2 linked regions of the Macaca mulatta genome follow. The protein of the gene in region 2 purifies or fractionates together with the protein of the main gene of each other region. This does not show direct contact. Links are inferred from orthologs where the notes say so. Each region holds a gene or a part of one and is shown on either strand. Other genes may lie near its edges.

What was found.
Region 1: the proteins of PA2G4 (region 2) and NCL purify together in Homo sapiens (affinity purification with mass spectrometry; 3 studies listed by BioGRID and IntAct, with this or other methods). This does not show direct contact. The link is inferred for Macaca mulatta from reciprocal best matches to the Homo sapiens genes PA2G4 and NCL.

The regions. Positions count from the first base shown.
Region 1 is NC_133417.1:136,720,135-136,724,518, reverse strand, and holds the start of NCL (nucleolin), read left to right. Parts: upstream 1-1,520; 5' UTR 1,521-1,661; coding exon 1,662-1,679; exon of another isoform or gene 1,680-1,872; intron 1,873-2,535; coding exon 2,536-2,652; intron 2,653-3,843; coding exon 3,844-4,324; intron 4,325-4,384. UniProt on the Homo sapiens protein: Nucleolin is the major nucleolar protein of growing eukaryotic cells. It is found associated with intranucleolar chromatin and pre-ribosomal particles. It induces chromatin decondensation by binding to histone H1.
Region 2 is NC_133416.1:63,253,082-63,257,597, reverse strand, and holds the start of PA2G4 (proliferation-associated protein 2G4), read right to left. Parts: upstream 2,989-4,516; 5' UTR 2,793-2,988; coding exon 2,705-2,792; intron 956-2,704; coding exon 827-955; intron 548-826; coding exon 442-547; intron 349-441; coding exon 279-348; intron 1-278. UniProt on the Homo sapiens protein: May play a role in a ERBB3-regulated signal transduction pathway. Seems be involved in growth regulation. Acts a corepressor of the androgen receptor (AR) and is regulated by the ERBB3 ligand neuregulin-1/heregulin (HRG).

The sequences.
Region 1 (4,384 bases), on a different chromosome or scaffold from region 2:
AGGCTGGAGTGCAATGGCGCCATCTCGGTTCACTGCAACCTCCGCCTCCTGGGCTCAAGCGATCCTCCCACCTCAGCCTCCCGAGTAGCCGGGGGCTCCAGGCGAGTGCCACTACACCCGCTAATTATTATTTTTTTTGTAGAGACAGGGTCGCATTATATTACCCAGGCCAGTCTCAAGTTCCTGGACTCAAGCGATCCTCCTGCATCAGCCTCCCAAAGTACTGGGATTACAGGCATAAGCCATCGCGCCTGGCCTTAACAAACACTTTTCTTTCTTTCTGAGACGGAGTCTCGCTCTGTCGCCCAGGCTGGAGTGCAGTGGCGCGATGTCGGCTCACTGCAATCCCCGACTCCCCGGTTCATGCGCCTCGGTCTCCCAAAGTGCTGGGACTGCGGGCCTGAGCCACCGCGCCCCGCCTGAGGTGATTTTTAACAAGTACCGCCGTAGCTGCAGGTATCCTGGTTCTGTAGGAACAATGAGGTATGGATGGATCCATACCTGGACCCATGGATTGGATGGATCCCAGGCAGGCCCTGGACGGAGGGAAATGCTCTGGTTTGCTAAGCCCGGCATCGAGGGAGGCCCACCCTCAAAGCTAACCGTGGAAGTCACTCCGGCCTCCTTCGCCCTGCCGCCGGGGAACCCTGCCGGTGGCTCTCGACCTGCTCCCGAGCCATCTGGTGACACTGACTTAGCAGCCACCACCTTAATTGGCGCATTCGACGCAAATAACAACCAGGGAACCTGTGGGCGGTCAAAGGCCCGGCTTTGCGGTCGGCCCGCCCAGGCCCCTCTCCTTGCCCTGTGAGGCCAGAAAGTTACTTCTCCGAGGCCGTTCCCCATGACGAGAAATATCTCCCGCCTGAGGTTCTGTGGGGTAGGGGAGGTTCGTGCATTTCTCACAGAAAAACCTCGCACAGACCCGCGACTGCCTTTAACGGCTCTCAGAAGACTGCCTGCAGCCGGGGGTGTCTCCAGTCCCATGCTCGCGGGCAAGCAGGGCTGAGCTGTGCCTCCGAAAGGGCCAACGGGAACTCCGCGGTCCCTGAACTTCCGGGGCTGGCGGGCTTCTTTCTCCAGGGCCACCGGGAGCGCCGGCGTGAGTGCGTGCCGGGGCCGCGCGCGGGGTCTTTGAGGAACTCCAAGGCTGCCCGAGCCTAGGGAGCCAGCCACATTGGAGATCCCTAGACCGCCCGATTCCACCACCCCCGAAGTCCCCTCACAGCCGGCGCCAAAAACGCCAGTCCCACGGCGCAGGCCGGGACCCGCGCGCCCACGGCCCAATCAGCGCCGGCCTTGCACAAAGCGAGCCCCGCCCCGACGGCACGGCTGCCAGCCCCTCCCCCTCCCGTGGCCGCCTCGGCCCGCCCACTCCCCGCCCCGCGCCGTTCTCGGTTAGAGGCTCGCGATTGGCTCAGGGGGACTGCCGCGAGCTCTGGTTGGTCGGCACGGAGTCACGAGGGCGCCGTCGTCGCCTTTCCACAGGCGATTACTGGGCAGGCTCAGTCTTTCGCCTCAGTCTCGAGCTCTCGCTGGCCTTCGAGTGTACGTGCTCCGGGATCTTCAGCACCCGCGGCCGCCATCGCCGTCGCTTGCCTTCCTCTGGACTCATCTGCGCCACTTCTCCGCTCCACACTCCGCCGCCATAAGCCGCCATCATGGTGAAGCTCGCGAAGGTAAACGGCCTTGAGCGCGAGCGCAGACGTCTAGGCCTGCTCTCCGAGGGGCGAGCGCGGCGGCGCGGGGAGGAGGGCCTGCGCGCAGTCCCGGGCGCGTTCTAGGGCGCCATGCTGCGGGAAGTCTCGCGCGATTAGTGGGGAGGTCTCGCGGCTTCTGGCTAGTTGGTGGCGAGGTGAAGAGCTTCTGCAGGTGCTGGGGGCGGCGAACGCGGCGGGAAAGACGGAGTCACTGAGCGCGGGGAGGGGGCGCTGGGCCCCGGGGTGGGGAGATGAGACCAAACTCCTGCGACGCATACGAGTCGGGACCCGACTCCTGACGCACGTGCCCGGGAGCGCGGCCTGCCACGTGGGCCGCGCCGCGTAGGTCCTGGAATCTCCAGAGGCACCGGTGCCTTGCGCCAGGAAATGGCGGTATCGGCCCTAGTCGGAGTCCTGGCCTGGCAAGCCGACACGTGGTGGGCCCCGGAAGGTGGCTCTGCCGCGTGCCTTTTGCGCCGTGTTTCGGGCACGTGGTGGCCTACCAGGTACCCCCACGTGGCCGCGCCGCCTCTTTAAGGGGCGGGGTTGTCTTGCTGGGAAAAGCATAATGTTCATGAGAAAACCAAGGTAGTTACTTCTTACCTTCGGGCGGGTTTTCTGTTTGTGAAGCCCGGGAGGAAAATTGTGGGCGGTTGAGAGTAGTCCATCTTGCATTGCCATCAGGACTCGTTTTGATGTTGTGCTGTTTGGCACTATGAGAAATGGATCTGAGAAAGGAGAGATGATGGCGTTTTACTATGAACAGTAATGGCAAAATATGAATGGCCTGAAATGTTGAGGTGGAGGTGTAATGACCTACTTGTGTCCATTTTAGGCAGGTAAAAATCAAGGTGACCCCAAGAAAATGGCTCCTCCTCCAAAGGAGGTAGAAGAAGATAGTGAAGATGAAGAAATGTCAGAAGATGAAGAAGATGATAGCAGTGGAGAAGAGGTAATTTTATCTAGCTTAATGCAGAATTGTGTTAAAACTACAACAATGGAGAGTTAAGACATGAAATTGGATGTCTGTGGCTAAAATAAGATTTTATTCATCCAGGTATGTCCTATTGTAGTGGTGGTTTCACAAGCTCTTCACTGACATGTCAAGGTGTCATTTGGCTAAGTATTTGAATGTGAGTTTGAGACAAGAGGTCTGGGGATCTCCTTTCCATGTGCCTCTGCAGGGCAAGGAGTGTGATTTGTTGTGTTAAATCATTAAATTTTTCCAGTTTCAACATGTTAGCCTCACCCCGACATGTAGAGCTGGGCATTGTATTCAGATCTGAGGATAACCTTCCCAGATTCCTTTCCTAGCCTCCAATTAAGATTAATTGGTCTCCATTCCATTATATATAAACTTTGTAATTCTACTCACTGCGTTATAGTTATCTTTGGTGTAGACTGAGGGCTGCCACCTCTTTGTGTTAACATTGACCCTCTTTACTCTTTGGCAGTCTTGGCCTTTTATTTGCTCACTGTAAAGACATCTGAGCACTGAATTGTGCTCAGGTTTTTCGTTGAGAATTGAATAAAAGTTTTATTCTTCCACACATTGCCTAATAAAACTATGGGATTTTCATGTAGCTAAACGATGGCTTTTATCAAACTAACATGCTCACTCTTTGATGTGTGATAGTTTTGTAAGGGATAGTTAGGTTTAGCCTATTTGATCTTCATTTTATCTCAGGTCCCAAGAATTGAGCTTCACTGGACTCAGTACTGCCATCCACCATAGGAGCCCCAAATGATTTAATACGTTAATGCTTGGAGCCTCCTAGGTGTAAGGTTCTGAATAATTTACGCATAGCACTTCATTATTGTTATACGTGTAATATGATACTATTACCATTTTCAGATGAGAAAGTTGGGGTTTGGGAAAATATGAGGTGCAAGAATTCAGAGGTCTGGTTCAGAGGTATTTTAAGTGTTCAAAAGGGTTCCTTATGGCTGGGTATTCACCTGATAATAAGGGCTCTGACCTAAGACAACATAACAGAAGCCTGGAGTTTAACATGCTAACATGTGTCTAGCGCATGTGGTCTTGAACCAGAAGCATTGGCAGAATCTAACACTCACTGGGACCATGGTTATCTTTTTGGGTGTGGGGCTGGACTTACTGGTTTGGTTTTCATTTATTCTCAAGGTTGTCATACCTCAGAAGAAAGGCAAGAAGGCTGCTGCAACCTCAGCAAAGAAGGTGGTAGTTTCCCCAACAAAAAAGGTTGCAGTTGCCACACCAGCCAAGAAAGCAGCTGTCACTCCAGGCAAAAAGGCAGCAGCAACACCTGCCAAGAAGACAGTTACACCAGCCAAAGCAGTTGCCACACCTGGCAAGAAGGGAGCCACACCAGGCAAAGCATTGGTAGCAACCCCTGGTAAGAAGGGTGCTGCCATCCCAGCCAAGGGGGCAAAGAATGGTAAGAATGCCAAGAAGGAAGACAGTGATGAAGAGGAGGAGGATGACAGTGAGGAAGATGATGAGGATGATGAGGACGAAGATGAGGATGAAGATGAAATTGAACCAGCAGTGATGAAAGCAGCAGCTGCTGCCCCTGCCTCAGAGGATGAGGATGATGAGGATGATGAAGATGATGAGGATGAGGATGATGACGATGAGGAAGATGGTAAGGAGTTGTCTTGGTAGTTACTGGGCTTCTGATTGCAAGATATCTTGAGATTCTGGG
Region 2 (4,516 bases):
AGGACATGCAATCAGTATCTTCCTGGAAAGTTTGTTAACTCAGCTGGCTATCTGGTTAATATCTGTGAACCCATATGCGAAGGCCAGCCAATGAACAGGAGGGTAAAAACAGCAACAACAACAACAACAACAACAACAACAACAAAAAGCCTTCCTCCTTTTGCTTCTCTAGACACTCTCTTGACCTGCGTGGTGATTGGGGGTGGGAATAAGAAGGAAATAGCGGTGCATTCCCTACACCCCCAAGGCTGAACAGAGATCAAAAGCAGGCCACCTACCTGAGCTACACCAACCACAAAAGTATGTGCTACATTAGCGATGAAGCCATCCACATGGACCCCAAGGTCACTGAAAGGCAAGATCAGAGTGTACTGCATTAGGAACCGGCATTTTGTAAATGCTTTAAAAAAAGAAAAATGCTTTAAAACGGTTTAACCTTACATTTTTACCAAGTCACCTTCCTTGAGAATATAATCCTGGTCGCTCTTCAAAGGGGAGAAGTGACATACACAGTTATTTACCGAAATGCTGGTGGGAAAAGCAATACCTGTAAAGAAAAAATCATCAGCCTACTGCCTTGCTGTCTCCCAGAAGCCCTAGTGCCCTTCAGAAGAGTGGAAGGATTTTTTCAGGGTCTTGCTTAAGTTTCATCAGTTTGTATTAGGTAGGAAACTGCTTATATCCCACTTGTCATTCCAAATTTCCAAATATCTCAGCCAGAGCCAGGGTGGGGACTGCATCATTACAGTGAAAAAAATAAAAACATATAGGACCAAATAAGGGTCAAACAGGAAATTAGTGAGGGATTTTTTTTTTTTTTTTTTACCTTTCTTCATTTCCTTTTCTTTCTTGAAGATTTTCCCTGTTTCTTCCATAATCATGGCATCACCTTTCTCACACAGGCTCAGTACCGACACACCCGAGCTAGATGCTTCCACCAAGGACCGAAGTACCCCTGAGGACAGAATCCCATCATGTCAGCCTTGTATGTATTCATTGTCTAGTTACCTCCCAAGGAATACCTGGAAGTTGAACTTAAGAGTTTCTAATGCTCCCTAGTGCCATTGCCCTGAGGCTGAAAGGTCAACATTCCCTTCTCTTCCTTACATTATGTGACAACTGGGTATATGCAATCCATCTCCTTAGGCAAGGCCTCGGACTTTCCAAAGATGCTACCTTTGGTGTGACAGGACAGAGTTATGAACTTCAGAGAGTTCTTGCCATGGTATCCCCACATACATGGAAAGACTAGATGAAATTTATAGGCATCAGGGACAGGAATGTAGACAGAATTGCTGACTCGAAGCTGAAGCACTGTTAAATGTTACCGCCTTCCTTTCTCAGACACTCTAATTAGGTGTTAGGAATCTCAATCTATGTAGACTTAATTCCTCATAAACAAGTGTATAAGCCAAGGGGACTTAATCTAAGGTCCCTGGGTTTCATTTTGGGGGATCATGGCTTATCTCAAAGAAATATGAGGCCAAAGTTATAAACTGTAAGAAAGGGATTTTCTGATTCAAATCCCTAGTATCTCAAATACTAAAAGGCACCAAAACCAGGGTACTATACTAAATGTCCACTGTGATATAAAGCACAGGTTTGAGTTTTGAAATCTCAGTTTTGGTGATTCTTTGAAAGCGGGTAAAACTCAGATTTTCACCCACAGGATGGGAGGCATCCTAAATACCTCTTTCCCACCATCTTTGCTGTTAAAACCATTTAAAAACACAATGACAAGCAGTTTGTATCTCCCTAACTGGGTTTTAAATAAAATGGAAAGGCTAACTAGAAAGAGAGAAAAGAGAAAGTGACATCGCCTAGAGTGGCAGGCAACTGCTGAGATCCTCAGAGCACAGCTGGAATAAGGATGACTTGTGAAAATCCTAAAATCAGTCCTCCCTTTTCCAGTAATGTTCGCAAGCTTGCCTAGTTGGGATAAGACGGAGACCCCAAAACATTTGAGTTGTCAAGTCACTTTGAACAACAAATGTGAATGCTAACTAAGGCTATCTGCACAGATTGGAAAGGTAGTAATAATGAGTAACTTCAAGAAAAGCCATATATATCTCCAAAACTTGTGTTAGAAGCTCCAGGAGTGCTCTCCAACGGTCCCCTTAGCTGGCCCAAGGGTAGAAGGGGGCCCCCACCAGGGTAAGAGCTGAAGAAGGAAAGGCTCCAGCAAAGCACGTGGTGGGGAAGCTGGTGTCAGGGACAGTACTGGAGGAAGAAGGGGGCCAGCCATCCGCAAGGGGACCCAGCAACACGTGCCGGCTCGGCTCCTGACGCCCCGCAGACGCGACAAAAACAGAGGGGCGCTTCTGTCGCCAATAGCTGGGCGCTTCCTTTTCGAGGTGGCCTCGCCGTTGCCAGAATCAGAGGAAGCAGAAATCGGGAATGAAGGATAGGAACAAGAGAAAACACGTCTTGCCTCCTAACAAACGGCCTCGGGTCGGAGCCTGCCAGGTTACCCTCTCTCCGCTCATCCCGGTCGCCGACCCGCACCTCCATAGACTTCAGCCTGGGCCTGGCCGCTCAGGTCCCAGGAGCGACACCGGGTCTTCCCACCACGCCGCCCCCAGCGGACTGGTGCGGGCCCCTCAGTAGCTCAGTTCGCATGACCCCTCCGCTCCAGCCCCTTCAGGGCCAGCCTGGCACCTTTCCCTGTCAGCCTTGATTCCCCGACCCCCGAGGTCGCACTCACTGTTGGCGATGTCGCCCCCCATCTTATACTTGGTCACGACCAGGTCCTCGGCGATAGTTTGCTCCTGCTGCTCGTCCTCGCCCGACATCTTCCTACTACCACCACTGCAGCCTCGTTTCCCCTGAGCCGCCGCCGCCTCTGTCTCCCTTCCCAGCCACAGGCTGTGGCCAGAGTCCCCTCGATCCTCGAGGAGAGGGCGAGCGAAAGCGCGAGCAAGCAAGGGAGCAGGCAGGCAGGCGAGAGCGAGAAGCTGTGAGCGCGCGGGCTGAGGCGCAGGGCACGCTGGGAAAACTAGTCCTCTCCACCGCCAGCCTTTAGCCGCCCTCGAGGGCTTTCGAACTACAATTCCCAGCCTGCCGCTCACGCTCCTAAGCCAGGCCCTGGGGCCTTGCCCTCCAAGGGCCTCGCACGCCGGAATCGCCGGGCACGCTGGGAAGGGTCAGGCTCCGGCGGGAAGGCGGAGCCGTTGGGGAGCTTGAGGGGAAGCGTGGTCTCTCCCGGAAAAACCACTTCCACCGAGAACGCTGTGCGAAAGCCAGTAACAGAGGGGCGGGCTGAGGGAAGAGGGGCGGAGCTACGGCGGGGAAATAGGTTTAGAGTCGAGCGAGCAGGGGTGGAGTAGAGTGGAGCCGCGGCGGGTGGGCAGTGTCTGCACCTAGGGCGGGGAGGCTGGGTGCGCCCTTCCTCGGATACTTGGGTCGGCTGGCGAAACCCGCCCAGCCGGTTCAGTCGTCCTCCGAAGCTGGGAGAACAGGGAGGGGCAGACAGGTGGAAGAAGACCAAGGGTGCTGGGAACGGGGGCCAGCTGCGCAGCCGGACACCGGAGGGATCATCCATTTAAAGGCCTCGTAATCTAGAGGCCGGACTCCTAATGAAGTAACATGACATTATTGTTCCAATAACAGGCACCTGGATGGGGCACCTAAGGGAAGTGTTCAGAAAGACATGTTTGTTGAGAGTTCTTACCGTGAAAAAATAAAAAGATTTGGTGACTTTTCTAAGATAATGAATTCAGAAGCATCTGGAGGTTTCAGTATTTGGCCTCTGAAGGAGACTGGACACGTATAGGGCTTTTTATAAATCTTCAAGCACGTGGGTTCTTTTTGTTATTCCCAATTGGTTGCCTTGTAGATTTCTACTAAAACCCTTAATGAAAAGGACTATGCGCTATGCTTGTTCTAAAGAAATACCAAGTAATAGTAGGACTAGAGAAATCTACATGGGACAGAGTAGCACTGTCAGAAGACAGAAAGGTGACTATCCACTGCTGAGGAGCAGATCTCTTATACGAAATGTTTTCACTTGACAGACAGGAAGCTGAAAAAAACTTTGGCATTTTTATTCAGACATGTATAAAAACAAAACAAAAAACTTCAGTGATACAACAGACATTTTCCCTCAGTTCCCCATCCAAGGGGACAGAGGTGTGAAGCTGAAGCTGGATCTTCTTTCTGTCCTACCTGGAAGCTTCTCACTGCTAGATGAGAAGGGCTTCTAAAAGGGGATCTTGGGGATAAGGAGTGAAGATCATATACAGCACATGTGGATTATGGTTTACACAAAGATGTCCAGTTATTTTTCCTTCTGACTACCCCCACCACCACTTCCTGAGACGAGATGTCTGGGTATAGGAGGAGGATGTGGCTGTTGGGGTTAGACTTGATTCAGTGCAAAAACAAGAAACGGTGCCCCGTAAACAAGGGCTGTGACTTAAATCAGTTTTCCTTGGCACCTTACAGTAAGAGCACATGCACAGGAATTGGGAGGATTTTGCATCCTGGACCTACTGCTTAATTTATTTCATCTCTTTAA